Saccharomyces cerevisiae S288C: one gene and its partners. The protein of the gene in region 1 purifies or fractionates together with the protein of each later gene. This does not show direct contact. Each region holds a gene or a part of one and is shown in the gene's direction. Other genes may lie near its edges. The genes, in order: TIF4631, DBP2, RBG1 and SRO9.

Region 1 (8,838 bases):
TACCTCTTTGATATTTGATTTCTAAGCCAAGGATGTCGTATTGAATTTCATCATCGCTTTCACCTAGATTTATAATCTTGGTATCGTATTGCATCTTGAGTTTTGCTATAATTCTTTTATTCGAATTTAAGTCCTTGCTGAACAATATCATATCATCAACGAATAAGCAAATTGTTACTTGACTATTCTTAAATACGCATGACCATCCACGAACTTCTTCCATACCACACTGTTTTATCAGGTATGATTTGATAGTTTCGTACCAGTTCGCTCCACTTTGTTTCAATCCATAAAGTGATTTCTTCAAACGTATCAACTTATCATTCATTCCTAAATGTGGTGGAGGTCTTATGTATAATTCTTCTTTGATGTCTGCATACAAATATGCCGAAGATATGTCTAATTGTGTAATATAGTAGTTATTGTCTAATGCAAGTGACAGGGATGTCATTAATGCATAGTGATGTACGGTATTGGATTGCATGCCTGAGTCGTAAGTGTCAGGATGCTGAATATCACCTCTTGCAACAAATCTAGCTTTATGAGTACCGTCACGTTTCCTGTTGAAGATAAACATTGAATTTATTACTCTTTTAGGGTCTATTTCTTTTCTGTCATAATATTTGTCAGTGTCCCAAGTATTCATTTTCAATAGTTGGTTGACTTCTTTGTGGTATGCTTCGATATATTTTTCCTTTTCTTTAATATCTTTATTATAGGTGATTGCCTCATCGTATCTTAAGGTTGTCCGTATTGGTTTGATTGATTTTACTGCTTTTACAGCTGCAATCAGGTGAATTCGTTTCTTCGATCTCGGAGGTTCTAAACTACGCATATTCTTAGTATTCCATGTGTCTCGTGATACCTTAATTTCAGTTTCATTATCTTCTAATGATCTTTTCTTACTGTTGATAGTAGTATAGGCATTAGAGTCACCAATACCACCCAAACTGGAATTAGTTTGACGAGAATTGATCGGTGGAAGTTCTTTAAAGGAGTCTGATAATTCGGTAGGAGGTTCTGGAGGCAGATCGGGAAGTGGAAGATCAGCAATTATAGATTCCTCTGTATTCTCCTTAGGACAGGTATCTGACGTTTTGATAGGAACGACGTGGTGTAGTGAATTACTTTCTGATGAGGAAGTATCGATCGAAGGTGAACGGTGTATAATCCTTTTCTCAGTCTCCTGTTCGCTTGTCTGCGGAACAGTTTTATTATTGGTACCACCCGTACTGGATATTGGTACGTTTGTATGATTAGTCTCATTGTCACTGTACGAGTCTGAGTGTCTGAAATCTTTAGATTTACTGGCGTACGACGACTCATGTGTGTTAGATTGGGACATGGGAGCAAGTAAAGGAACATTTAATTTATGCATACCACCCGAACCGGTACTCTCGATATTGGAAATTTGGGGGGTGCTAGATCTCTTCTTTGATGGAAGAATATTAGATTCAGATATGTTGGGGTCAACTTCTCTGGGTGCGCGAATATTGGTTTTAGAAACACGTTTCGAATCTTCAGTATGAGTTGACGGAGGTGTGGAATCGGTTGGACTCACAGCTTTTGAAAGGACATTTCTCGGTTGCTCAGGATGTAGTTCAATGTCGGATTGGAAGTCATGGTCAGATTCTATGTTAAGATCATTGGATTCTTGGATCTCATTTGACGCAATGAACGAATGATATGAAGCAGTTAAACGGTTTAAGTCTTCATCGAAAGTGAGTGCGTCGTAATTGAATTGATCTAATCTGGATTCCTTGCCCTGAAGAATAACATAGTTAGTTGTATCTACTGTCTTCTTTAAGGATGGAAGATAGATGATATATCCATAAGAGTTTCGAGACGGATGTAGAGCGTAGCCTGGGATGCCACGAGGATGTATTTTGGAGTTAGGGTTGTGATCATTGACGATAACAGGTTGACCGAAAGGTAACAAAGTACTGATATCAAGTCCTGCCAAGCCAGCATGTTGTCTTGCAGATTTTTTGCTTTTAGGTGAAGCTAGTGAATTTCTCACAATAGTAGAAAATTCGATTGCAGAGAACCATAAATGGTTCGGTAAACCACTACATTGCAGTTGAGTACGGCAGTCATCTAATAAGGTACGGTTCAGCCGTTCAGCGACTCCATGTGCTCGGGAATCCGCTGTGGTTGTATAGCATGGAGTTATACCATTTTTTTCAAGGAATTTATGGAGAGTTCTGTTAGTATACTCAGAACCACGGTCCATTTGTATAACTAAGACACTGGCCTGAAACTGGTTTTTAATAAAAGCTAGTATCGTAGTAAAAACATCGAGGATAGAGTCCTCGCGACGGTCGTGTAATGGATAAACCCAACGGAATTTTGTTGTCTCATCAGTAAATGAGATGAAATAGGATGGTGCACTTTTTGGTAGGTTGTGAACTGGACCAAATATGTCAGTATGTAGGTATTGAAAGGGTTCGTATGAATTTTGGTATTTTAGTCGTGAACCTTTGATATGTCTGTGTTTGGTGCTTTTGCCGATTAAACAATCAGGACATTGATAGTCAATAGCACTAGACCAGTCGACATCTGATTCGTTAAAATACGTGATGGTGTTATTTTTAAGTGAGTATCGAATTGTCTGTGCATTGGCATGCGCAAGCATTCGATGAATGAAAGGATAAGGATATTTGCGTGTACTTTCACTTGTATGGACATTATTGATGGTGGGTACGGAGATATTTGATGGAAGCAAGTACTTTTTAGATACCCAGTAAAAGTCTCCATATTTCACGATAGGTGCAAGTACAGTGCCGTCAGACCGTTCTAAGACGTTTTTGGTAAAGCATGCTGTGATATCTACTGCAGCCAATTCATTCAAACTGAGTAAGTCATAGGCTATGTTAGGAGTGTGCAATACCTTTATTGATGTTTTGGTGTTGTCCTGGAAGTGAAATTGTAGGTCACCAATAGCGTTAATTGGTATATTTCTTTTTTGAGCATCAACTACGTTTATGTCAGGATTAGATGATGCTGAGTGTATGTGATGAGCAGATCTTATAAGGGTTCGTGATGCTCCTGAATCGAGAAGGAGGTGTCCAGGGAGTTCATCATCAGAATGATTAGTATGATTTACTGTAGATTCAGTAAGTTTCTGGCCTAAGATGAAGGTCGTGCTTATTGTTCAATTGAATCGGTTCAGTAGTTGATTTACTGATGGAATCGTTGTCCGTGCTGGGAGAGTTATTAGATGTGGATACATTGTGAGCCCTGGCTGTTTTCGATTTCGAATTATTTGTTTTTTGAGGATTCCGAGCTATAACTTTGGGTTTGGTTGTATTCGTATAGCTGCGAGAATCATTCTTCTCATCACTCGGATTTCTCCTGTAATTAGGTTTGCTGTTTCTCGATCCCTGTTGTTCTTCATAAATAGCATGGATATCTAAGAACAGTTCAGCGACTGTCATATTTAGATGTCGATGACGTGTGTAGCGTAAAAATTTATATTCGCCAGATAGACCTCTCATAATTAATTGGCATGCGACCTTGTTATTGATATGAATGCCATTATTGTTCAGTCTGTCGATAATGTTTGTGACTTTTGTTTCAAATGCATCTGCAGGTGTACTGCCATTATATTGCAAATTTGCCAGGGTCACAATGTCGTTTGCCTCTTGGGTATCAGATTGCATTTTTTCAATACTTTTGGAAAGAATTTTCATGATATCCGTATAATCAACGGATAGGATGTCTTTGACCCAGGTAGGTAGGAATTGAGAGGGAGCAAATATTTGAAAAGTGTTATACAAGAAGGTGAGTTCATCATCAGTGATCTGACGTACGGGTTTTCCGTTTACTGTCGGAATAATACCACCGAGATTCGAGTTTTGTAAAAATTTGATGTATGTTTTAACCCAATTTGGAAAGTCATTAGGTGAGGTTAACATTGGTGGTGGTCTGACATATTTTTTAGTGGATGTCATATCAGAGTCCGCTGAGGATGAATCAGTAAATGTATTACCTGACTCAGGTGATGGAGTGCTCAGAGGCGTTCCAACTGATGATGGATACTGCGGAAACTGTGATTGTGGCCCAGGTGGAAAGTACATAGGCGACATTTGATAAGGTGTATACGGAATCATAGATGGGTGTCCGTAAAATGACCAACCAGATGGATTGGCTTGGTTTTGGGTCATCATGCACTGCTGTGGGTACGGCCCATTCTGTGGAGGTGGTACTGAAGCAGGTTGAGGAGAGGCATGATGGGGGTTCTCTGGAACAGCTGATGAAGCAGGTGTTGTTGTCTGTTGAGAGTTAGCCTTAGTGGAAGCCTTATCATATTCTTGAATTTTGGAAGCTGAAACGTCTAACGGATCTTGATTTGTGTGGACTTCCTTAGAAGTAACCGAAGCACAGGCGCTACCATGAGATATATGTGGGTAATTAGATAATTGTTGGGATTCCATTGTTGATAAAGGCTATAATATTAGGTATACAGAATATACTAGAAGTTCTCCTCGAGGATATAGGAATCCTCAAAATGGAATCTATATTTCTACATACTAATATTACGATTATTCCTCATTCCGTTTTATATGTTTCATTATCCTATTACATTATCAATCCTTGCACTTCAGCTTCCTCTAACTTCGATGACAGCTTCTCATAACTTATGTCATCATCTTAACACCGTATATGATAATATATTGATAATATAACTATTAGTTGATAGACGATAGTGGATTTTTATTCCAACAAAATCCACATTCTCTTCATATATACATATATTGGTTGTTGTTACTACTTTAGCTTTTTTCCTCTGTTCGTTTCAAGATCTAGCTTGCAATTATCCCTCTAGGTAATAACCAGCATAGTTGTCGTCGTTTCATGTGACCTATTCCCCTTTAATTGGATCAATCTTCCAATAAGAGTGGTTTCGTGGTCTAGTCGGTTATGGCATCTGCTTAACACGCAGAACGTCCCCAGTTCGATCCTGGGCGAAATCATTTTTTGAAGATTACATTAATAAGGCTTTTTTCAATATCTCTGGAACAACAGTTTTTTTTTACTTACTAATAGCTTTAAGGACCCTCTTGGACATCATGATGGCAGACTTCCATCGTAATGGGATGATCATATGATGGGCGCTATCCTCATCGCGACTCGATAACGACGTGAGAAACGATTTTTTTTTTCTTTTTCACCGTATTTTTGTGCGTCCTTTTTCAATTATAGCTTTTTTTTTATTTTTTTTTTTTCTCGTACTGTTTCACTGACAAAAGTTTTTTTTTCAAGAAAAATTTTCGATGCCGCGTTCTCTGTGTGCAACGGATGGATGGTAGATGGAATTTCAATATGTTGCTTGAAATTTTACCAATCTTGATATTGTGATAATTTACTTAATTATGATTCTTCCTCTTCCCTTCAATTTCTTAAAGCTTCTTACTTTACTCCTTCTTGCTCATAAATAAGCAAGGTAAGAGGACAACTGTAATTACCTATTACAATAATGACAGACGAAACTGCTCACCCGACACAATCTGCTTCAAAGCAGGAATCTGCTGCTCTGAAACAGACAGGCGATGACCAGCAGGAATCTCAGCAACAACGTGGCTACACCAACTACAACAATGGTAGCAACTATACCCAAAAGAAGCCTTACAACAGCAACAGACCTCATCAGCAAAGAGGTGGTAAATTTGGACCAAACAGATATAACAACCGTGGCAACTATAATGGTGGCGGTAGTTTCAGAGGTGGACACATGGGAGCCAACAGCTCAAACGTGCCATGGACTGGTTACTATAATAACTACCCCGTTTACTACCAGCCCCAGCAAATGGCGGCCGCTGGTAGTGCCCCTGCTAATCCAATTCCTGTCGAAGAGAAGTCACCTGTTCCAACTAAGATAGAAATCACTACCAAGTCTGGTGAACACTTAGATTTGAAAGAACAGCATAAAGCCAAGCTACAGTCTCAGGAAAGATCTACTGTGTCTCCGCAACCAGAGTCAAAGTTAAAAGAAACTTCTGATTCTACTTCTACTTCTACTCCAACTCCTACCCCTTCCACTAATGACTCTAAGGCCAGTTCTGAAGAAAATATATCTGAAGCTGAAAAGACAAGAAGAAATTTCATCGAGCAAGTTAAACTTCGTAAAGCTGCTTTAGAAAAGAAGAGAAAGGAGCAACTTGAAGGTTCTAGTGGCAACAATAATATTCCAATGAAGACTACCCCAGAAAATGTGGAAGAGAAGGGATCGGACAAACCTGAGGTAACCGAAAAAACCAAGCCTGCTGAAGAAAAATCTGCTGAGCCAGAAGTTAAGCAAGAAACTCCAGCTGAAGAAGGTGAACAAGGAGAAAAGGGCCAAATAAAGGAAGAATCCACTCCAAAGGTGTTAACCTTTGCTGAACGTTTGAAGTTGAAGAAACAACAAAAAGAACGAGAAGAAAAAACGGAGGGGAAGGAAAACAAGGAAGTGCCAGTACAGGAAGAGACTAAGAGCGCCATCGAGTCTGCTCCTGTGCCTCCCAGTGAACAGGTTAAAGAAGAAACTGAGGTCGCCGAAACCGAACAGTCAAACATTGATGAATCTGCAACAACTCCGGCTATCCCTACTAAATCTGATGAAGCTGAAGCTGAAGTTGAGGCTGAAGCAGGTGATGCTGGAACAAAGATTGGACTTGAAGCTGAAATCGAAACTACAACTGATGAAACTGATGATGGTACAAACACCGTTTCTCACATATTGAATGTATTGAAAGATGCTACACCAATTGAAGATGTCTTTTCTTTTAACTATCCAGAAGGTATTGAAGGTCCTGATATCAAATACAAGAAAGAACACGTCAAATATACATATGGCCCAACTTTCTTGCTTCAATTTAAGGACAAACTAAACGTCAAAGCGGACGCCGAATGGGTCCAAAGCACTGCTTCTAAAATTGTCATTCCACCAGGAATGGGCAGAGGAAATAGATCTAGAGATTCTGGCAGATTCGGCAATAATTCTAGTCGTGGCCATGACTTTAGAAATACCTCAGTGAGAAATATGGATGACAGAGCTAATTCAAGAACTTCATCAAAGAGAAGATCAAAGAGAATGAATGACGACAGGAGATCTAATAGATCTTATACATCAAGAAGAGACCGCGAGAGAGGCTCCTACAGAAATGAAGAGAAAAGAGAGGACGATAAACCAAAGGAAGAAGTTGCTCCACTTGTTCCAAGTGCTAATAGGTGGGTGCCAAAATTCAAGTCTAAAAAGACTGAAAAGAAGCTAGCCCCTGACGGAAAGACCGAACTATTGGACAAGGATGAAGTTGAAAGAAAGATGAAGTCACTACTGAATAAACTTACTTTGGAAATGTTCGATGCTATTTCATCTGAAATTTTGGCTATTGCAAACATATCAGTATGGGAAACAAATGGTGAAACGTTAAAGGCTGTGATAGAACAGATTTTCTTAAAGGCCTGTGACGAACCCCATTGGTCTTCTATGTACGCGCAATTATGTGGTAAAGTAGTTAAAGAATTAAACCCAGATATAACAGATGAAACTAATGAAGGTAAGACAGGTCCAAAATTGGTTTTGCATTACTTGGTTGCTAGATGTCATGCCGAATTTGACAAGGGTTGGACCGATAAATTACCCACAAACGAAGATGGTACTCCATTAGAACCTGAGATGATGTCAGAAGAGTACTATGCAGCTGCTTCTGCTAAGAGAAGAGGTTTAGGTTTGGTTCGTTTCATCGGTTTCCTATACCGTCTGAATCTGTTGACTGGAAAGATGATGTTCGAATGTTTCCGTAGACTAATGAAGGATTTGACGGATTCTCCATCTGAAGAAACTCTAGAGTCCGTTGTTGAATTGTTAAATACTGTTGGTGAACAATTTGAGACCGATAGTTTCAGAACGGGTCAAGCAACATTGGAGGGTTCGCAATTGCTCGATAGTTTGTTCGGTATTTTAGACAATATTATTCAAACTGCTAAGATTTCTAGTAGAATCAAGTTCAAGTTGATCGACATTAAAGAATTAAGGCACGACAAGAACTGGAACAGTGATAAGAAGGACAACGGTCCTAAGACCATTCAACAGATTCATGAGGAAGAGGAGAGACAACGTCAATTGAAGAATAATTCAAGATCTAATTCAAGACGTACGAACAACTCCAGTAATAGACACTCTTTCAGAAGGGACGCTCCTCCTGCATCAAAAGATAGCTTTATCACAACCAGAACATATTCTCAAAGAAATAGCCAAAGGGCTCCTCCTCCAAAGGAAGAACCAGCTGCACCAACTTCTACCGCAACAAATATGTTCAGTGCATTAATGGGAGAAAGTGATGACGAAGAGTAACATGAATAGATCATGTTAAGTATCGAAAATGTCACTTGGATACAAGGATGTTGGTAGAAAGTCTAATAAAATAATAAATTAATAGTACAACACAAATTTAATCTTACGTTTAATCCTGCGCTATTAATTGAAAATATATGCATGGAGAAGAAAAAAAAAGTGTCCCTAATTTACCATTGTTATATTTTCTCGATTAATGGGCTCATTTCTTTTCACTAAAAGCTATAAACAAGTTTGATGCATTTTAATGGGTAATCCTCTTACTGTGCTTTTTTTTCCTATCTTGTTCTATATGTCAATGCCTTTCTGTATTTTTATTTATAGCTTCGCCAGTCTTCGTTTACGATATGTTTTATATAATAGACCACTCAGCATATGTATAGTTTTGTATATTTATATCATTTATTAGCTGACGGCTTTAACTTCATATTTCGATTTAATCATGCTACTGCTTCACCATTTGTCCTTTTTTTTACAGAGGCCACGAAAGGAAAGGACCG
Region 2 (8,606 bases), on another chromosome or scaffold:
CTTGTCTTCACATTTTGCAAAGATTCTGCATTGTTTGTCACATCTCTGTAACTTAGAATTGAACTCGTCACGCTTTCCAAAAACTTGGAACGCAAGAAACGTCCTTGATATTTCATATCACGCCCATATATACGTTCTTTAGACCCATGATGAGCTAGTAACCATGAAGTCTGTAATCTCCATCCTAAACTCGACCAAATGCCTTTCCACCATAATCTAAATTCGTTATGCCTTTCTATCTCCGAAGGTAACCAAGTCTTATCATGGTTGCGGCCATCCCCATCATTACCATTGCCATCGTCGCCATCGTCGCCATCACCACGGCCTGGAGGTAGTAATCTTTGAATGTAGTTTTTTAACAATAGTTCTTCATGCCATGATTCAACAAGCATCATGCTATCCACAATATCGACATTCTTGGCGGTAAATACTCTTGTAAATAGCCCGCCAAGGTCGTATCCTACTGTAGTGAAGGGACCTTTAATTTTTGCATCTTTGATCAATGCGTACCTTAAAGATTCCGCAACCATCGCAATAGAGATTGGGGCGGGAGGAGAATCGCTCAACCCGTACCCTGGTCTATCGTATAGACAATATCTTTGAATTTTGTCTAAATGATATAGTTCCTCAATCCAGGTGGCAGAAAGGTAACCAGTATCATAACCTCCGTGTTCAAACAAGATGATAGGTTGCTTCTTATTTTCAGACAAATCTGTGTTGTTTTCTTGATCAAATACGTCACCATAACAAGTTATATGCAACTGATAGGTTTTAGCGGCATCTACGTAATGGAACGCCTCGTACGAGGGCGACTGAACGGTTATTGGTAATTTGTGAGTCAATCTGTAGGTATCCAATGTCGTTAAAAGTGTATTCAGGGTGAATAAAGCGAAGAATATTAAAATTAAAAACTTAATAGTATTCCTGAACCCAATGGATACCCATTCTGTCAATGTATGTTTGTTTTGGACCAGCTGCGAGCGGTGGGTGGGGGTTGGCGACCCAGAGCCATATTGGCTTCTGTCCCTGTTTTCGGTACTATTTGTATGGTTTTCGTTGAAAGTACTAATATTAGCATCATCAATTCTGCGTTCCTCCAATGGCTCATTTATTGAGTTGTTGTAAAACAAGAGATACCAATCTAATATTGCCCCAATAAAAAATGAAAACGAAGTCCACAAATATGTAAACGTGCCCACAAAGCCGATTCTTTGCCTAGTGTATTTAATTAGATAGGTCAATGCTAGATTGAACAACGTCAAAACACAGAGAGTTACATTTAAGCTGTAATCTAAAGCTGAGTACAGTCCCAGCTTATTAAACCAGAGATTGAAAGAATTAGCTATGATCGAGATGAATATTAAAGTCAAGTCGTTAAAACTTGCGTACCTGTTACTGAATCCGAAAAGAATATTGATATTGAAAAAGAAATCTGAAATCAAAGTGGTGACTAGCCAGATGGTGTTAATTAGAATTAGGATATTTAATATCCATTTGGAGTTATGAATAAAGATTCTATAACCTTTGCGAATTTGAAAGAGACTATCTTTGATGAACCCATCGGATTCAATGTCACGACCTTCATTAACTGCTGGGCCATTCGCGGATCCTGCACCAAGGGTCCGGTGGTTGTTGTTCAGCAACGGTTGCGCTTCTGGGTGTTCACTATCTATATCTGTTCTTTCCATTCCCGTCCTTGCCGGATCATTATCTAAACCATTAGCCTTCATGATCTGTTCGCTCTGATGCCTACAGTTCTTTCTTCAATGGCTTTCCTTTCCTTTCCTCCTTATAGAATATAGCAAGGCATCTAACTTTTAGTTTTTCTCTCATCCCTTTAAACTGCACGATGGTTAAAATTAGGGGTCCGAATAGCCTTGCAAGGAATAGATTAAAGAACACTATATATGCATAGCCACTTCAAAACGTGCTGAGAACATGCCATCAAGGTTGACCAATACGATTGCTGATTCGACAACTTCTACATTACATAGGCATATACATATCAGAAAAACGTGCTTTATAGGTACATTTTTTAATTCCTTAAACATAACTTGCTTCTATTTTGGGATAGTTCCTTTTCTTTGAACTACGTTTTTTGGGCAGAAATATAAAAAAAAACCGAAAAAAACGGCACGCAAGAAAGCTTATTCAAAAAGACGCAACAATATCATAGATTATTCTAAGTACCAACAACGTGATAAACTTTGTTCTAATAAAGCTACATCTTATCTCTTCTGTACAGCTTTATTGGGGTGAATCATATTTACTTCAATCCGGGTAATGGTAAACGTAACAAGTGATAGAAATATTCACCTGCGATGAGCTGGAAAAAAAAAAAATTTCAAAAGAAAACCATACTAATGCTGAGGTATAAAGTAACGAATTGGGGAAAGGCCATCAATCCAAAGTCGGAAAAATTGAACTTCACATAAAGTACCAGGCAAATGACTGAAGACATCGAACAAAAAAAGACCGCTACAGAGGTAACACCACAAGAACCAAAGCACATCCAAGAAGAAGAAGAACAGGATGTTGATATGACTGGCGATGAAGAACAGGAAGAGGAACCAGACAGGGAAAAAATTAAGCTTCTCACACAGGCAACATCTGAAGATGGAACTAGTGCCTCTTTTCAAATTGTAGAGGAGGATCACACGCTTGGAAATGCCCTTCGTTACGTTATAATGAAAAATCCAGACGTAGAATTTTGTGGTTACTCGATACCTCATCCTTCTGAAAACCTATTAAATATCAGAATTCAAACCTACGGTGAAACGACCGCGGTGGATGCTCTTCAAAAAGGGCTAAAGGACTTGATGGATTTATGTGACGTTGTAGAATCTAAGTTTACTGAAAAAATCAAGAGCATGTAGATGTTACGGATCGACTCAAAGACCCTCTGTCACTCTGAAATTTCTAATAATTATGCACACCACGCTAGTATAGATACAGCTTGATTTGTGTATCCCGTTTATAGTCGTGCTATTTAAAATCTATGTATAATATAACCAGATAAAAATACACCTTCGTACAAGGTGCTAATAATGTTGAGAATTCGAAATTCCTTTTTAAAGGCGTATTCCGTATTGAATGATTGAAAAATTTATTTCTTTTTTTATTTCTTTTTTTTTTTTTTTTTTTTTTTTTTACGCCGATGCTCATCGCAGAAAATTTTTCCTTCAGTTTATTTGTCTTATAAAAAGACTGTCCTACGCTCAAATAACTTATACTTTTCTGTATCTCATTCAAATTATTTTCTTGTCAACAACCTGTAACAGAATTAAGCACTATTAAGGCAAATTTAGAGCAAATATGACTTACGGTGGTAGAGATCAGCAATATAACAAGACTAACTACAAGTCTAGAGGTGGCGACTTCCGCGGTGGAAGAAACTCTGATAGAAACTCTTACAATGACAGACCACAAGGCGGTAACTACCGTGGTGGTTTCGGTGGTCGTTCCAATTACAACCAACCCCAGGAATTGATCAAACCAAACTGGGATGAAGAATTACCCAAATTGCCAACTTTCGAAAAGAATTTCTATGTTGAACACGAAAGTGTTCGCGACAGATCGGACAGTGAGATTGCTCAGTTCAGAAAGGAAAATGAAATGACTATTTCCGGACACGATATTCCAAAGCCAATCACCACTTTCGATGAAGCTGGTTTCCCAGACTACGTTTTGAATGAAGTGAAGGCTGAAGGATTTGACAAACCAACTGGCATTCAATGTCAGGGTTGGCCAATGGCTTTATCTGGTAGGGACATGGTTGGTATTGCTGCCACTGGTTCCGGTAAGACTTTGTCTTATTGTTTACCAGGTATTGTTCATATCAACGCTCAACCATTATTGGCTCCAGGCGATGGACCAATTGTTTTGGTTTTGGCTCCAACTAGAGAATTGGCTGTTCAAATTCAAACAGAATGTTCCAAGTTTGGTCATAGTTCCAGAATCAGAAATACCTGTGTCTACGGTGGTGTTCCAAAAAGTCAACAAATCAGAGATTTATCTCGTGGCTCTGAAATTGTTATTGCTACTCCAGGTCGACTAATTGATATGCTAGAGATTGGTAAGACTAATTTGAAGAGAGTCACTTACCTGGTTCTTGATGAAGCTGATAGAATGTTAGATATGGGTTTTGAACCTCAAATCAGAAAGATTGTTGATCAAATCAGACCTGATAGACAAACCTTGATGTGGTCTGCCACTTGGCCAAAGGAGGTGAAGCAACTAGCCGCTGATTACTTGAATGATCCAATTCAAGTTCAAGTTGGTTCTCTAGAACTATCTGCCTCCCATAATATTACTCAGATCGTCGAAGTTGTTTCTGATTTCGAAAAGAGAGATCGTTTGAACAAGTACTTAGAAACAGCCTCTCAAGACAACGAATACAAGACATTAATCTTTGCTTCTACGAAAAGAATGTGCGATGATATCACCAAGTATCTAAGAGAAGATGGATGGCCCGCCTTGGCTATTCATGGTGACAAAGACCAAAGAGAACGTGACTGGGTTCTACAAGAGTTTAGAAACGGTAGATCCCCAATTATGGTTGCTACTGATGTGGCCGCCAGAGGTATCGGTATGTTAAAATTTTCTCCATTTTTTTATTGATTTTATTTTTTTTTGTTACCCCTAACGATATTACAGCTATTTCCTAATGGCTTTTAATGACATTAATGACTTTATGACAACCATGATAGTACAGAAGAGAGACCTTTTTTCTTTTTTTTTTTTTTTTCTTTTTTTTTTTTTTTTCTTTTTTTCTTTTTTTTTTTTTTGAGCCTTTTCGAATCTAGACTCTATGTGAGTCTATTCTCGATGGGGAGTATCGGAAATTGAATTTTAATTCGAATGACTTCTAATGCATCACTACAGAAAACTAATATTGGGAGGATGAGAAAAATTGACTTTAATTAGTCGTTTTGAGAGACGGGAAATTATAAACTCGGAGAAGTGTATTTGTGTTCATGATTTGCACTTCATGTCAAAAGAAATTTCGCTTTTTGACATCGGCGCAAATAAACAAGGAATTGGCTTTTCAGCTTATTTCTAGAACGCATACATACGCTTCGTTGATCGTTGTTTTTTTCAATGCTTGGCATTTGTACAAGGGTAGATTGTTTTATTGGAAAAATAATAGTATATTCTACTTTGAAATGCCGTCATCCTTCTTGACTATTGTTATTCTCATTTTGTGTAGTTTATGCATTTTGTAGTTATATTGAGATACTGTTGCATCCCAAGTTCGAATTATTAAGAAGTGCTGATAAAAATGGAAAATAACAAAATAAAAGGATTTCAACCATATTCAGAAATCATTTACTTTGTTTTCCTTTTTTTAAGTGCTAGCTTTCATTCAGTTTGAATAAGGATTCTGGAGTATTGATGATTAAATATTTCGAATTCTTTAATAAAAATATAATTTCTGATAATCTTCAAGCCAGGGGGAAATTTGAGACAATGTTGGGAGTCCAAACATGAATTTGTGGGGGGCATGAAAATAAAGTTCATATACAGAATAACGAACCAAATTACTAACAGTATGCTTTGTAAACGTTTGTTTACTTCTTTATTTTTTCAGATGTCAAAGGTATCAATTACGTTATCAACTACGATATGCCAGGTAACATTGAAGATTATGTTCACAGAATCGGTAGAACTGGTAGAGCAGGTGCTACTGGTACTGCTATATCTTTCTTCACCGAACAAAACAAAGGTTTAGGTGCTAAATTAATCTCTATCATGAGAGAAGCTAATCAAAATATTCCTCCCGAATTATTGAAATACGACAGGAGATCTTATGGTGGCGGTCACCCAAGATACGGTGGTGGTCGTGGTGGTCGTGGTGGCTATGGCCGTAGAGGTGGTTACGGTGGTGGCCGTGGTGGTTACGGCGGTAACAGGCAGAGAGATGGTGGCTGGGGTAACAGAGGTCGTTCAAACTATTGAAGTCAAAGTGATTCAATTCATTCATCTCTATTAATAATAATTATATAAGTTGACTGCACCTTATTTCTTCAATGCATGATAAAATTTTATTTGCTGTATACTACATTTTTAATATTTTAAAGCTCTTCGTCACACTTTTTCTTTAATACTCCTAAGTTTTTGGGTGAACGGTGGCAACTGGATTGAAGTTATTTCGCATAACGCTTAGTGTGCCGTAAAATAATAGGACAGACACTTTTCTTTGTTCTCGTACAACCCTGGGGCCGATGTTAAACGAATGATTTTCAAAAAAACAGTAGACTTACAAAGAAGTCGTGCACTAGCGCTTATGGGTCATTTTAGAATGAGCGAAATGCACGACAACCAGGTTGATCGTATTGAAGTAAGAGCAGAGCTTTATTTGCCTTTTTTTTTTTTATCTAAGACGATGATTTTTAGCCATACACAAAGATAAGTATATACATATTAATTTATAATAATTCTATCTGCCAGGCAGATTCTATGATACAGTGACATACTTCTATGCGATATAGTAGCATAAGTTAATGTTGTAAGACATTAATTTGGCCTTGATTGCTTGTAAATAAATAATTTAATAAACTGAAACGAAAAATTCAATTGAGTTTGGAGAAGAGTGTGGGCTATTCTGGAAGAAAAATTATTCGTTCAACAAATAATAAGCAACACCTAGCATTAAAATGGCCAATATGACAACCAATGTACCACTACCTTTACTTTGGTTTTCAGAGGTAGATACCTTTTCCACAGAAACGCGCTCACTGGTCTTGTCAACGTCACCAATGTATAAACCTTTCAGTAGTCTCAATGCTTCGTCAGAATGACCGATATCGACAAAGCTTTCTGTAGCATCTTGTCCACCCAAATCCATTATAATTTCATCACCACCTGGATGTTCATCTTTGAATTGAGAAACATCGTAAACTTTGTCATCGATGATAATCCAGAAATTTTCTGGGCCATTGTGTTCGGCAACTTCTTGGTAACTGTAAACTTTAGGCATGATTGTTTGATATTTTATGTTGTAGTTGATTGATTTTCTTTACTATGAAGAAAATGAAAATCGAATTTAAATATTAACGAGGAAGCCTGAACGAAAATTTTTGAGAAAGTTTCAAAAGCTTCTTGTTCTTTATATAGTTATTGGAAAAAGGACAATATATATATTTGTTATTTATTGATATAATAACAATGCTTCTCAAATATCGCTTTTTGGCCACGAATGCGACAAAAATTTTCTCGTTATGCTAACCTCTCTCACTATCTCGATCTCGTATAGCTTTCTTTTTTGCAGCTATTGTTCTTTTTCTGGGCCGTTAAATTTTTCATCCGGAAACTCCAGGCTATTACCCGCTCCGTGATTTTGGTCGTTGAATCTTCGTAAAAGCAATCATGTAAATATCATTGAATACGGACAAACGGAACTATATTGCTGGAATTAATGATATAAATGGTTTCCCAAGTTTGCTATATCTCCTATTCTATCTTACAAAACCCTTTTCTCAGGGTGGATGAGAAGTGACAAGTCACCATTTGAATTCGATACCTGACTTGGCTAATTTTTTTATCCTTTCTTCATGTTTTTGCTTCATGTTATCCTTTAGCTGTTTTACTGGTTTGGTGATACCTTTCTCTACTAGAACTCTCTTCTTGTATTTGTACAATTTCTCGATTTTAGCTCCTTTTGGTAATACACGCACTTGTAGTAGATGACCCATCAACAAGTAATTGTTCATAGATTCTTGGGCGATCATTGCATCCTCTTTATTAACGAATTCTAAGAAGCCATAATGTCTGGAATTTCCAGTTTTCTTATTACGTGCTAATCTCACTTCTTTTAAATCACCGAATTGAGCAAAATATTTACTTAATTCCTTTTCGTGGAACCCATGTGGCAGTCTACTCACATAAATAATCCCAGAATACTCTTCAAGTGTCTTTTTATCTTTCGACTTTTTTTCATTAGCCTGCTTCTTAGGATTCAATCTTTTAATCTTGTGTGTACCGCTCTGCTCATCATCAGAAGCGGCTAAACCTTCAATTTCATCTTCATCTTTTTCGTCTTCTTCATCTGAACTGCTAGACGATGTTTCTAGAGCCAACTCTTCTTTCTCCTGTATAGGTTTTTCTTCGGTGGGTTGTTTGGTTACTGTTTCCTTGGTGGAAGTTTTGCTTGTTGACTTTACCATATCGATCTCTTTCCTCTGTTATTTTATCTCTAGAACTTAACCCTATAGAAAAGGTAGTTAATGAAGTTAAAAGTAATGGTAATCGTCTTCAAATTAAGTGATGAGATGAGATGCGATGCACTACTTCATTTTTTCTTATGGCGGAAAATTTTTCATAGTGAAAAGAAACAGGCAAAATCTGGGGGGTAACCGCATACGTCTCTGCTATGCCGTCTGTAATGAGGATGCTAAAGTTGCAATAGCTGCTATGCACATTAGAAAGGGTTTAGCAGGATAATGAGTTTTCAGAGATAGCACAAAACTCGAAAGGTTTCGGTACTACTACCTAGACAGCTCATCTTTCAATCGTTGAACCTTGAATTTTGAAGTTTAGGGATATTAAAAGATACTGTTAATTCTATCAATTTACACTAGACTTTGACATATGTATATATATATATA
Region 3 (4,186 bases), on another chromosome or scaffold:
TCCAAACCATGCATAATGTCAATAACCAAAATTGCGATGTTACACAATGAAGAACCTCTTGAACGTAAGTTAGAGAAGGATTCGTGACCTGGGGTATCAATAACCAAAAGACCTGGGACATCAAAAGTTTGTTTTTCATATTCAGCCATAACTTTAGTTTTTGCCTTAATAGCGTCGATGGGGAAATAAGTGGCACCAATCTGTTGGGTGATGCCACCAGCTTCACCACCTTGAACGTTGGTTTGTCTGATTTTGTCTAACAATTTAGTCTTACCGGTATCGACATGACCCAAAATACAACAAATTGGGGAACGAAGATCTTTTTTGTTTGGAGAAGCGCTGGATGGAGTTGGAGTAGCTGCTGGTGTAGCTGCTGGTGTGCTTTTGGCAACTTCATGCACATGTGCTCTTTCTTCTTCTTCTTCTTCTTCTTCTTCTCCTTCTTCTTCTTCTTCGCCTTGATTTTGGTCTTCATTTTCATGGCTTGCGGTGGATTCTTGCGTTTCTTCGTTGGTTCCCTCCTCGTCATCATCACCAAGAGCCAAATTTTCCCAATCATCAATCAAAACATCTTCGGATTCTTTGAGTTCGTCATCAGGTACAACTTCCGAGTCTTTCTTAGAGTCAGATTTAATGGCTTCGGAGGCGTTTTCCTGGGTTGTTCTCTTCTTCTTCTTGCTGTAAACAACCTTCTTTGGTTTGTTTTCTTCTCCATCCTTCTTGGCCAGACCGGCAACTTTGACGTTACCGGAAGACAATAAAGCGGCACGTCTTCTTTCCAATAATTTCTTTTCTTCTTTTTGCTTTCTGGTCAATAGCTTACCTTCAGCCTTTCGTTTTTCACGCTTTGCCTTCTCCTTTTCCTTTTTAGCTGCTTTAGCTTCTTCCTTCATTTTTTCTTCGTTGGCCAATCTTTCCTCCTCTTCTTTCTCCAATCTTTCTTCTTCCTCTCTTTCCAACTTTTCTTGTTCTTCAAGTTGTTTCTTCAATTCTAATTGACGTCTCAAAGCAGCCAAACCGGCAGGTACTTTCTTGGCTGGCTTCTTAGCACTAGCACTTGGTTTATCACTTTCACCTTTAGATTTTTGGGATTTCTCAGCAGCAGCCTTCTCAGCAGCAGCTTTTTCAACATTTTGCTTGTTCAACTCCTTGTTCTTCTCCTTTTGAGCTTGCTGTTGGGCCTTCTTCCTGGCAGCTTGTTCTTTCTTCTTCTGCTTCTCCTTTTCCTTTTTTTCCTTCTCCTTTTCCTTCTTGGACTTTAGTATAGGCTTACCATCCTTCTTCTCTTCAATAACCTTCTTTTCTTGCTTCTTCTTCGATTGCTTCAAAGTAGACATGAAGTCGCCTTCAATGGCCTCAGCACCTTCAGCACTTGCACTTGCTTCTCTGGAAGTGTCATCTGCACCTGCGCTGCTTTCTGGATTTGGAGTTGGCGTGGCACTGATTTCTTCGTTCTGGGCGGCGTCTTCTTCGAATTCCTCATCCCAGTAGTTCTGTTGGTTCTTTTTACTCTTTTTCGCCATCTTTCACTTATCTGATGTTCCTGATTGCCCTTCTTATCCCCTCAAAGTTCACCTTTGCCACTTATTCTAGTGCAAGATCTCTTGCTTTCAATGGGCTTAAAGCTTGAAAAATTTTTTCACATCACAAGCGACGAGGGCCCGTTTTTTTCATCGATGAGCTATAAGAGTTTTCCACTTTTAAGATGGGATATTACGGTGTGATGAGGGCGCAATGATAGGAAGTGTTTGAAGCTAGATGCAGTAGGTGCAAGCGTAGAGTTGTTGATTGAGCAAAATGTCTACTACAGTTGAAAAAATCAAAGCTATCGAAGATGAAATGGCCCGTACCCAAAAGAACAAGGCCACATCTTTCCATTTGGGTCAACTGAAGGCCAAGCTGGCCAAACTGAGAAGAGAATTGTTGACCAGTGCTTCATCCGGCAGCGGTGGTGGTGCTGGTATTGGTTTTGATGTGGCTAGAACTGGTGTGGCCAGTGTGGGGTTTGTCGGGTTCCCGTCGGTGGGGAAATCTACATTACTGTCCAAGTTGACTGGTACTGAGTCTGAAGCAGCTGAGTACGAGTTTACCACCCTGGTTACCGTCCCCGGTGTCATTCGTTATAAAGGTGCCAAGATCCAAATGTTGGATTTACCTGGTATTATCGATGGTGCTAAGGATGGTAGAGGTAGAGGTAAGCAAGTTATTGCCGTGGCAAGAACCTGTAACCTGTTATTTATCATCCTAGATGTGAACAAACCCTTGCATCATAAGCAAATCATTGAGAAGGAACTGGAAGGTGTGGGGATTCGTCTGAATAAAACTCCGCCAGATATCTTGATCAAAAAAAAAGAGAAAGGTGGTATTTCCATCACAAACACAGTCCCATTGACCCATCTGGGGAATGACGAAATCAGAGCCGTTATGAGCGAGTACAGAATAAATAGCGCTGAGATTGCCTTCAGGTGTGATGCCACTGTGGATGATTTGATTGATGTTTTGGAAGCTTCGTCAAGAAGATACATGCCTGCCATCTATGTGTTAAACAAGATTGATTCTCTGTCAATAGAGGAATTGGAATTACTTTACCGAATTCCTAATGCCGTGCCTATTTCGTCTGGTCAAGATTGGAACTTGGACGAGCTGTTGCAAGTCATGTGGGATAGACTAAATCTAGTCCGTATTTACACTAAACCAAAGGGCCAAATACCAGATTTTACCGACCCTGTGGTGCTAAGATCAGACCGTTGCAGTGTCAAGGATTTTTGTAACCAAATTCATAAATCTTTAGTGGACGACTTTAGAAATGCTCTGGTTTACGGTAGCAGTGTCAAACATCAACCTCAATACGTGGGGTTGAGTCACATTTTGGAAGACGAAGATGTTGTTACCATCTTGAAAAAGTGATTCTCGAACAAAAAATAATATAAGAAATGAAAAAAAAAAAAAATAATTCATAATTGAATATACAAGCATTTGTATTCGAAAAGGGGGTATCGGTTATTTTTTTTCGCTGTTTTTCTTCCACCGTTTGAGTATAGAGCATCTATAACATTTAATTATCTCTACATAATGAATAAAAAAAACAGTCGTAATAATTAAAAATGTTATGCTACCGAGGGCTCTTCAAAAGCGACCTCGCTTTGTGGTACCCATAAGCATTCTGTTATCGATCGTAGAGTTTTCTGGTAAATTGACACATCTCCTCTTGACTGAGCTCGTCTGCCTACGTTTTAGAATTTCCTGGGTTTGGCCAAACTCCCACAGTTCTTTATCATTCAGAATATCGAACTCATCGGATGTACTGATGGATATGTTCAGGGTTGCTTTCATATATTGCAAAGAATCCTGGATGGTCACTAGTGGATAGTAGGTCATCACCCTGGAAATAAGAAATTTGAGAAGTGCGCAATCATAGGAATGTGATGATATAACCAAGATATTTCCAAAATGACTAAATGACTTAAAGAGTGCCAACAGATCGTTGAATGCCTGGTACTGTACCAAGGGCTCACCACTGAGGACATTCGAATTACAAAACTGGGGCAGTGATTGGATTGTATCGGTTTGTGCCTGTGTTAAAGATGTTTTTATCTTTTTGCCCATCTGCAAGTACTGTCCAACGAATTTCTGTAGTAGTATTGTATTGTTTCGTATATACAAATCAATTGCGGCCTTCTTTGTTGCTACTGCTGCTGTAGTTGGTGAGCAAAGATTCACGACTACCGAATTAGAGTTCCTGAAATACTGGGTATAAAACGACGCTATCTTTTCAGTACTTAGATTGACACCAATGATGAACTTAATATTTTCATATTGCAAAAGAATAGGTTGTGTCAATATCTCACAGGGTCCAAAATAAACATTGGTATCCAGTTTTTGTAACTTCAGGTCATCTATGGGGCTTGAATCTTCGATTTCCATATCCATAGCAGTGTTATTTCCTTTGCTTTTTGCGTAATTATTGGCACTATGTCACTGATTATATAAGCCACTTCAGTTTTCTTCCCATCTAATTAATTTTTCTTCGAAACACATTCTGTAAATAAGGGATTATGTTATGAAAAGAATACGTACTAGATGGCTAGAAGAATAGGACGGAGTAGCACTTATCGTTTCTGATAAGAGGATCAATCCTTTGAAATCTTGAAACGCGAATAAATTTAGGACACTAATTGAATCTGCC
Region 4 (7,608 bases), on another chromosome or scaffold:
CTTTATCTACTACTGCCTTACTACCCCCCTTGCGCCTCCTGATTCACGTGATGTGGGAATTTTGTCTTGAAAGGAGTAAATATATAAAATAAATGAAAAGTTTATATAATATAAAAAGGGACTTTAGCATAAAATAAAGAACTTCGTGCAGTACTTATACGAGCATTCGCATAATTATACAAATAGACAAAACCTCAGAAGGAAAAAAAATGGTATCTCAAGAAACTATCAAGCACGTCAAGGACCTTATTGCAGAAAACGAGATCTTCGTCGCATCCAAAACGTACTGTCCATACTGCCATGCAGCCCTAAACACGCTTTTTGAAAAGTTAAAGGTTCCCAGGTCCAAAGTTCTGGTTTTGCAATTGAATGACATGAAGGAAGGCGCAGACATTCAGGCTGCGTTATATGAGATTAATGGCCAAAGAACCGTGCCAAACATCTATATTAATGGTAAACATATTGGAGGCAACGACGACTTGCAGGAATTGAGGGAGACTGGTGAATTGGAGGAATTGTTAGAACCTATTCTTGCAAATTAAGGGCAGACAAAGTTTTTTCCATGCACACAGGTTTATAATGAGCTTATATATATGTATATGTATATGTATACAAGCATGTGTTTGTATTTACAGGAAAAAAATCGATGAATATATTTAGTGTGTCGGAAGAGTGCTTGTGAAGGCGTCTTTAGCAGTTCCGAAATACGTTAACCCACCGAATTCCGTTTGGCAGACTCTTTCCTTCCTACTGCTCTTGACGCCCTTGCGGTACGTCCGATTTTTGACTGCCTCCTCGATGGAGATGGCATACGACATGGGCACCACTTTAGGCTCTCGTACGTCTCGTTCTCCCCAAACTTTTACTTGGCCCATTACTTTAAGAACATCGTCCATGCCGCTTATTTTCCTGAAATTAACATCGCAAAACTTCATGAACAAATGCAGGGTATAGTAGGCATCGTTACCGGCATTGTGTAGAAACGCATGCGGTATCTCGAACAACCGCAGAATCTTGCCCAGACTGCTGCCCTTTTCGCCATACGATTTCCTGTAAAACTGCTCAGTGTCCAAGATGAACACGTCTAGATCACCGGGAGTTTCAGCCAAAAGCAGCGTATGGTCCAGATGGCCTTCATACCCTCTGCCAGGGAATTTGACACCAATAGTCTCCAGCCACTTAAGATCCCCGCTCACGTGATGACCAACAAATGCCCTTGACCATGTCTTGTCTTCTTCGGTCACCGGGACCAAGTAATAGTTTATTAGTGATTGAATGAAATGCACGCACTCTTTCAAGCTCAAAACATAGCTTTCTCCCAATAAGTAGCAATCCTTGTAGTCACAGACCCATTTTTGGTTTCTAAGTTCCAGGGACTCCTCGATAATTAGGTGGTAATTCTTTGTAATTGGAACCATTGACGGCACCATATTTTCCCTGGGGTCATAAATTGAAATCCCAATTTCGGTGATTACGTTCTGGTTTGTTTCGAAAGCCTCTATATCAAGACAAAAGCATATTGCTCTCTGAGAGGCCATCAGCCTGATGCATTTCTCCAGATAAGCAAATTCATTCGAGCGTGAATGTGCTTCCACCATGGGCCAGAACGTCTTCCTCACGCTGTTTTTCTCGTCAGCCAGTAGTTTCTGTTCTGTCTCTAGGAGCTTGATGGTACCATTCATTCCTAACATTTTCTTCTGAATGGCTTCGAACCAAGCGGTGTCGCTCATTCCTTTGGGCTGCGGACAGATACAGTTGGCTCGGTCCTCTTTGGTCAATGGAGACAGCCGCTGTGATCTTTTGGACCTGGGTGGTACGATCGTGTCGCTTAATCTTTTCAAAAACCGGCGTTCTTCCACGAGTTTTTCCAGTTTTGCATGCACATCACCATGTACCATATGCCATTCACTGTCCACCTGCGCCAGTTTGGCTTCCAATTGCGCCCTGGATTGTCCATAGGAGGCATCAAACTTCTGCCTCATCTCCGCCACATATGCATCGATCATGGGCTTCCTTAGTTGGTCCAATTCCTTAGAAAACGCGGTCTTTCTCAACTGTACATAGTAATCTATCTGGTCCAGCCAATTGCACTTAGCACGGTCCCAGGGCGTATTCAATTGGGTCCTGGCATCCAGAAACGCCTCCACACAGCCCGCGATCTTGCCGCTTCCTGTTCGGTCCTTCACTAATCCTCTGACAGAGAGCGTCCCATTACTTAGTTTTGTTGCCAAAGCACCGGTATTACCGCTTCTGGAACGATAACGGGGGCCTGCGCCGTTATTATTCCTCCTCTCCCAATGGACGCTTTTATCGCTACCGTTATTACTGTTATCTCTCACCATTTTTTGAACCTGCATGTGGATCTGGACTCTCGAGCAAGACCCAAGTTCTCATTGCCTCCTTTCCTTCTTCCCTTCTTATATGTTGTCTTGTTGAACCTCAAAACACTAGCGGATAATACGGATTTTGAGGGATGCTCATCGCAAATTTTTCAGAAATGGTGCACGGATGTACCCACGCAATGAAAAATTTTTTTCACTTCTGGTAGGTCAAGAACAAAGAAAGAAAAGTACAAGTGTAAACATTTCTTAACATCTTTTTCGGTTTTATGAAGATCTTTTGGGATCCTAGATCGGTAATAGAACATCAGGATTACTCTGGACCTGCTAACGTGTTTCATCTTCTTTTCACTTCTCTGCCCACGATGTCTGCTGAAACCGCCGCCGCAAACACTGCTACTGCCCCAGTCCCAGAAGTGCAAGAACAAGAGAGCTCCAAGAGCAAGCAAGTCAACTTGACGCCGGCACCATTGCCCACATCTTCCCCATGGAAACTTGCTCCTACTGAGATCCCTGTTTCTACTATCTCAATAGAAGACTTGGATGCCACAAGAAAGAAGAAGAACAGAACACCCACTCCGAAATCATCGACTGCTACCAAGTGGGTTCCCATCAAGGCCTCCATTACCGTCTCTGGCACCAAAAGATCCGGTTCCAAGAATGGTGCAAGTAATGGCAACAGCAACAAGAGCAAAAACAACAAAACTGCAGCATCGTCGACATCGTCGAGTAATGCTAACAGGAAAAAGAAGCATCACCAACATAATGCTAAGAAGCAACAACAAATGAAGAAAGATGGCTTTGAATCGGCAGTAGGTGAGGAAGATTCAAAAGACGCTACCTCTCAAGAAAATGGTCAATCTACACAACAGCAACAACCACCTCACCACCGTAATCATCACCACAGTCATCACCATAACAGCAATGGTCCTCAAAGGAGAAAGTTCCACAACAGTAATAACGCCGGTATGCCTCAGAACCAAGGCTTCCCACCACAGTTTAAACCTTACCAAGGACGCAACGCTCGTAATAACAACAACAACCGCTCTAAATACCACAACCACTTCCATCACAACCAACAACATCCTCAACAACCTATGGTCAAATTACAGCAACAGTTTTATCCAGTCCAACCAGTGTTAATGGCCATCAACAACATTGCTAGACAAATTGAATACTATTTCAGCGAAGAAAACTTGACCGTCGACAATTACTTAAGGTCCAAACTCTCCAAGGATGGTTTTGCTCCATTGTCTTTAATCTCTAAGTTTTACAGAGTTGTTAACATGTCCTTCGGAGGTGACACTAACCTGATTTTAGCCGCATTGAGAGAAATTGTCGCTAACGAAGCCGCTACCGTCAATGTTGCAGAAGGTACTTTGGCCGCCAAGGAAGGTGATAACGTTACCGGTGAAGCCAAAGAACCATCTCCATTGGATAAGTACTTCGTTCGTTCCAAGAGCTGGTCAAACTGGTTACCAGAAACTTTTGAAACTGAAATTAATATTGAAAAAGAACTGGTCGGCGATGCATTGGACCAATTCATGATATCCCTACCACCTGTTCCTCAACAAGAAGAGGAATCATCCACTGAACTCGCTTCTCAAGAACAAGAAACCAAAGAAGACTCTGCGCCGGTTGCTGCCGGTGAATCCGAGTCTTCCTTATAAAGGCCTCTCACACTTGCAAAATAAAAAATGGATTCGTTCATTGCATTTTACACAAAAAACCATAAAAAATTGAAAAACCTAATAATTAAAAAAATTAAAAGTTAATCATCCTCCAGCAAAGCTGTTTTTTTTTTGTTTTTTTTTTTTTTTTTGTTTTTTTATCCATTTTTTTCATTTGTTCCATCAGTTTAATACGAAAGAGAAAATAAAAATAAAAACTTTGAACAATTTTCATGTTTTGAATTCATTGTACATTATCATCATAAGCAATAAGATACAAATATTTATGTTTTTTTTTTTTTGTTTTTTTTTTTTTTTAAGATATAAAAATACTAGCCTCTTCTCACTTCGTTTTCTCTCTGTCTAAGTGGCTACCATCATGAGATATGATATTCTTTCTTCTCCCTGCGCAATTCTTAAACCACCTGCTTTTTTTATTCAATTTTTTGCTAATTTAATAATTGGGAAGAAGATATGAAAAATGCCTATTTTACTCTAAGCAATTCATATGTAAAAAATTTTATGTATAGTTTTTTTTTTCTCTTTTGTGCTGTCAAATTCCTTTTTATTGTCATCTAAGACCATGCTTTAGCTTCTGTCATGTATAATGCAACGTGTCTTAGATTATTAATTGTTGTATTGTGCGGCATTGATAGCGCCGCTCAACAATTTTAGGAAATTGCTAAAATTAATTCCTTAAAACGGTATTTTCCTAAACGAAAATACCTCAGCTATTGAAAGATGCGTAGTGTAAACAAAAGGAAAGATTTCAAACTGTACCTATATTACCACGGTTTTTGCCCTTATAAGCAATAGTTTGCTCATAACATATTCTCTACATTAGATATGAGCTATGGAACTATAAATGATATGAATGAATCGGTAACGAACTATCGAATAAAAAAAGCCCAAAACAATATCAAGGGATGGTACGCTTACTCATTTTCTAGCGAACCATTTGTCGTTTCTGCGGTTTCAACGTATATTCCCTTACTACTGCAGCAATTTGCGAGTATAAATGGTGTAAAAGTTCACGATCACTCCATACCCTGCCTGTCAGAAACGGGTAGTGATTCAGATAAGTGTGTTCTTGGTTTGTTCAACAATCGGATCTTCGTAGATACTTCAAGTTTTGCATTATATGTCTTTTCCCTTAGCGTTTTATTCCAAACTATAATAGTCATTTCCGTTTCAGGGATAGTAGATCTCTGGGGGAGCGTTAAATTCAAAGGCAGAATTCTGGTTTGGTTTGGTATTGTGGGCGCATTGTCGACTGTTGCGATTTCAAAATTGAATGATACCCAGATTTATTCTCTGGCTGGGCTTTATATAGTGGCCAATGGTTGTTTTGGCGTTATCAATGTTGTTGGGAATTCTCTTCTGCCCATTTTTGTCAAGGATTCTTTGAAATGTCAAAGTCAAGGAGCTTATGAACCTGATAAGGTAGACTCGTTAACTACTGTTATTAGCGGTAGAGGTGCATCTTTAGGTTATTCAAGTGCCCTCATTGTTCAGATTGTATCTATGTTCTTAGTCGCATCTAAAAAGGGCAGTAAGCAGGATGTTCAAGTGGCTGTTCTTTTCGTTGGGATTTGGTGGTTTGTGTGGCAACTGCCCATGATCTGGTTGATTGACGATGTGACAATACCGATAAGAGTTGACGATTCTACATTAGCATCCGCCCGCAGTCCGTATCCCGGTGAGCAAGACGCCTTGGGTCAACTAAACTGGAAGAATTACCTTTCATATGGTTGGGTTTCGCTTTTCGAATCGTTTAAACATGCCAGACTATTGAAAGATGTGATGATTTTTCTTATTGCGTGGTTTATTATTAGTGATTCCATTACAACTATAAATTCTACAGCGGTTTTGTTCTCCAAGGCAGAACTGCACATGAGTACCCTCAATTTAATCATGATAAGTGTTTTGACCGTTGTAAATGCAATGCTGGGTGCCTTTATGATTCCACAATTTCTTGCCACAAAGTTTCGGTGGACTTCTAGTCAAACTTTGATGTACATTATCATTTGGGCAAGTTTCATACCATTTTATGGTATTCTTGGATTTTTCTTCAATGCGTTCGGTTTAAAGCATAAGTTTGAAATGTTCTTATTGGCCATTTGGTATGGATTATCACTAGGTGGCCTGTCCGCGGTTTCAAGATCAGTTTTCAGTTTGATTGTACCTCCAGGAAAAGAATCCACGTTTTTTAGTATGTTCAGTATCACAGATAAGGGGTCGTCCATCCTGGGACCCTTCCTTGTTGGACTGCTTACCGATAAAACGCATAATATTCGCTATTCGTTTTATTTCTTCTTTTTGCTTTTGATGCTATCATTGCCTGTGCTAAACTGTTTGGATGTCAAGAGAGGTAGAAGAGAGGCTGAAGAACTCAGTCAAGTTTTACCTGAAAGTGAAAGAAGGTTGGATTAGTTCTTTTTTTTTTTTTGTTACATAAAACTTTGCTTACGTATATATATAAGGTGGAGTATTAATTTCTTGAAATTTTCCAGATTTTTATCTTACCGTCATCACCGCCAGAAGCAAACATTTCTTTATCTGCAGGGTTTGATGCAACTACGTTACAATTTTTCCCCATGGGTTTTGTGGAATTACTCATTACCGTGGAATGACCGGATAAAACAGATACTAGGTTACCTCTAATTCTATCCCAAATGTAAATTTTACCATCTTCTGATCCGCTCATGACAAGCTTATTACCGTAGGCGAAGCAAGATCTGATAATAAAGTGCTGTTGCTTCTGTCCAAAGTACTTTTGTATGAGAATATTTTCTTTATAGTCCCACATTTGTAATTCGTTATCTTGAAGGCTAACTAATACCAAATGTTGAGACTCGGATATTTGTTGCCTATGGAAGCCTTGATGCGTGGTATTTAGCGGTAATGAGATACAAGTCATGTTTTTGCCCACGTCCAATCTTGCGATCCTTGGAATCAGAAAGTTTTTGGGATCCACTGTTTGCTTAGATAGCTCCTCTTTGGAGGGGAACCCACTGAAATCGTAGACATCTATAACGCCCTGGTGGGTCATTAAAAGCACGTATTTATCGTCATAGCTGATTTTCACGTCGTGCACACGTGGAAAGGTTTCGTCGTCCTCCACATATTGCCAGTTACCATTGCTACTTGTTGGTTTGTAAAGGACTTTTGCAGGATCGATTGATTTTCTCCCAGAGATGTTTTCATCGTGGCCCAACGCGATACAAGTCCTGCCTTTTAAGCTAAAAAGTGACTCTTTCGTGGTGAGTGAGTGTACAATAGCTTCTCTGTCGGGCGATCCAACCACCATCCAGCCCGCACGTTCCGCAGTGTGGAAGGCATCGCAGCACCATACTCTTGATTGATTAGAATTCGCGTTTGCCGGCCTCGAGGAAGATGATGCTGATGATTCGGTATCATCTGGGTACGTGGTGGTGTCCAGTTTAAACGAGTCCATGGGCGAGAGCCTGGTAGAAGGGTATAGTAGGAACGAGTCTGTGGCAGACGCATCGGGCAGGGAGGTGGCATTCATGTCGTAAATGGTAACATCTTCGCTGAAAGGGCAAGCAACCAGATACCGGCTATCAGGAGAAAACATG

The links.
Region 2: the proteins of TIF4631 (region 1) and DBP2 purify together in Saccharomyces cerevisiae (affinity purification with mass spectrometry; 3 studies listed by BioGRID, with this or other methods). This does not show direct contact.
Region 3: the proteins of TIF4631 (region 1) and RBG1 purify together in Saccharomyces cerevisiae (affinity purification with mass spectrometry, with the first as the bait; 3 studies listed by BioGRID). This does not show direct contact.
Region 4: the proteins of TIF4631 (region 1) and SRO9 purify together in Saccharomyces cerevisiae (affinity purification with western blotting; 4 studies listed by BioGRID, with this or other methods). This does not show direct contact.

Annotation. Positions count from the first base shown.
Region 1 is NC_001139.9:818,580-827,417, forward strand, and holds TIF4631 (translation initiation factor eIF4G), read left to right. Parts: upstream 1-5,479; coding exon 5,480-8,338; downstream 8,339-8,838. Other genes in the region: YGR161C-C (gag protein), read right to left, coding at 3,114-4,436. UniProt on the Saccharomyces cerevisiae protein: Component of the eIF4F complex, which interacts with the mRNA cap structure and serves as an initial point of assembly for the translation apparatus.
Region 2 is NC_001146.8:410,324-418,929, forward strand, and holds DBP2 (DEAD-box ATP-dependent RNA helicase DBP2), read left to right. Parts: upstream 1-3,315; coding exon 3,316-4,588; intron 4,589-5,590; coding exon 5,591-5,958; downstream 5,959-8,606. Other genes in the region: YNL115C (uncharacterized protein), read right to left, coding at 1-1,730; DNA-directed RNA polymerase core subunit RPC19, read left to right, coding at 2,448-2,876; CYB5 (Cyb5p), read right to left, coding at 6,617-6,979; rRNA-binding ribosome biosynthesis protein NOP15, read right to left, coding at 7,503-8,165. UniProt on the Saccharomyces cerevisiae protein: ATP-dependent RNA helicase involved nonsense-mediated mRNA decay and ribosome biogenesis through rRNA processing. Associates directly with chromatin, correlating with transcriptional activity.
Region 3 is NC_001133.9:73,764-77,949, reverse strand, and holds RBG1 (GTP-binding protein RBG1), read left to right. Parts: upstream 1-1,797; coding exon 1,798-2,907; downstream 2,908-4,186. Other genes in the region: FUN12 (translation initiation factor eIF5B), read right to left, coding at 1-1,523; YAL037W (uncharacterized protein), read right to left, coding at 3,127-3,930. UniProt on the Saccharomyces cerevisiae protein: Involved in ribosomal function.
Region 4 is NC_001135.5:53,775-61,382, reverse strand, and holds SRO9 (Sro9p), read left to right. Parts: upstream 1-2,704; coding exon 2,705-4,009; downstream 4,010-7,608. Other genes in the region: dithiol glutaredoxin GRX1, read left to right, coding at 210-542; GFD2 (Gfd2p), read right to left, coding at 657-2,357; ATG22 (Atg22p), read left to right, coding at 4,856-6,442; glucose-induced degradation complex subunit GID7, read right to left, coding at 6,501-7,608. UniProt on the Saccharomyces cerevisiae protein: May overlap in function with tropomyosin and may be involved in organization of actin filaments. Acts as a multicopy suppressor of RHO3 mutation. RNA-binding protein which may modulate mRNA translation.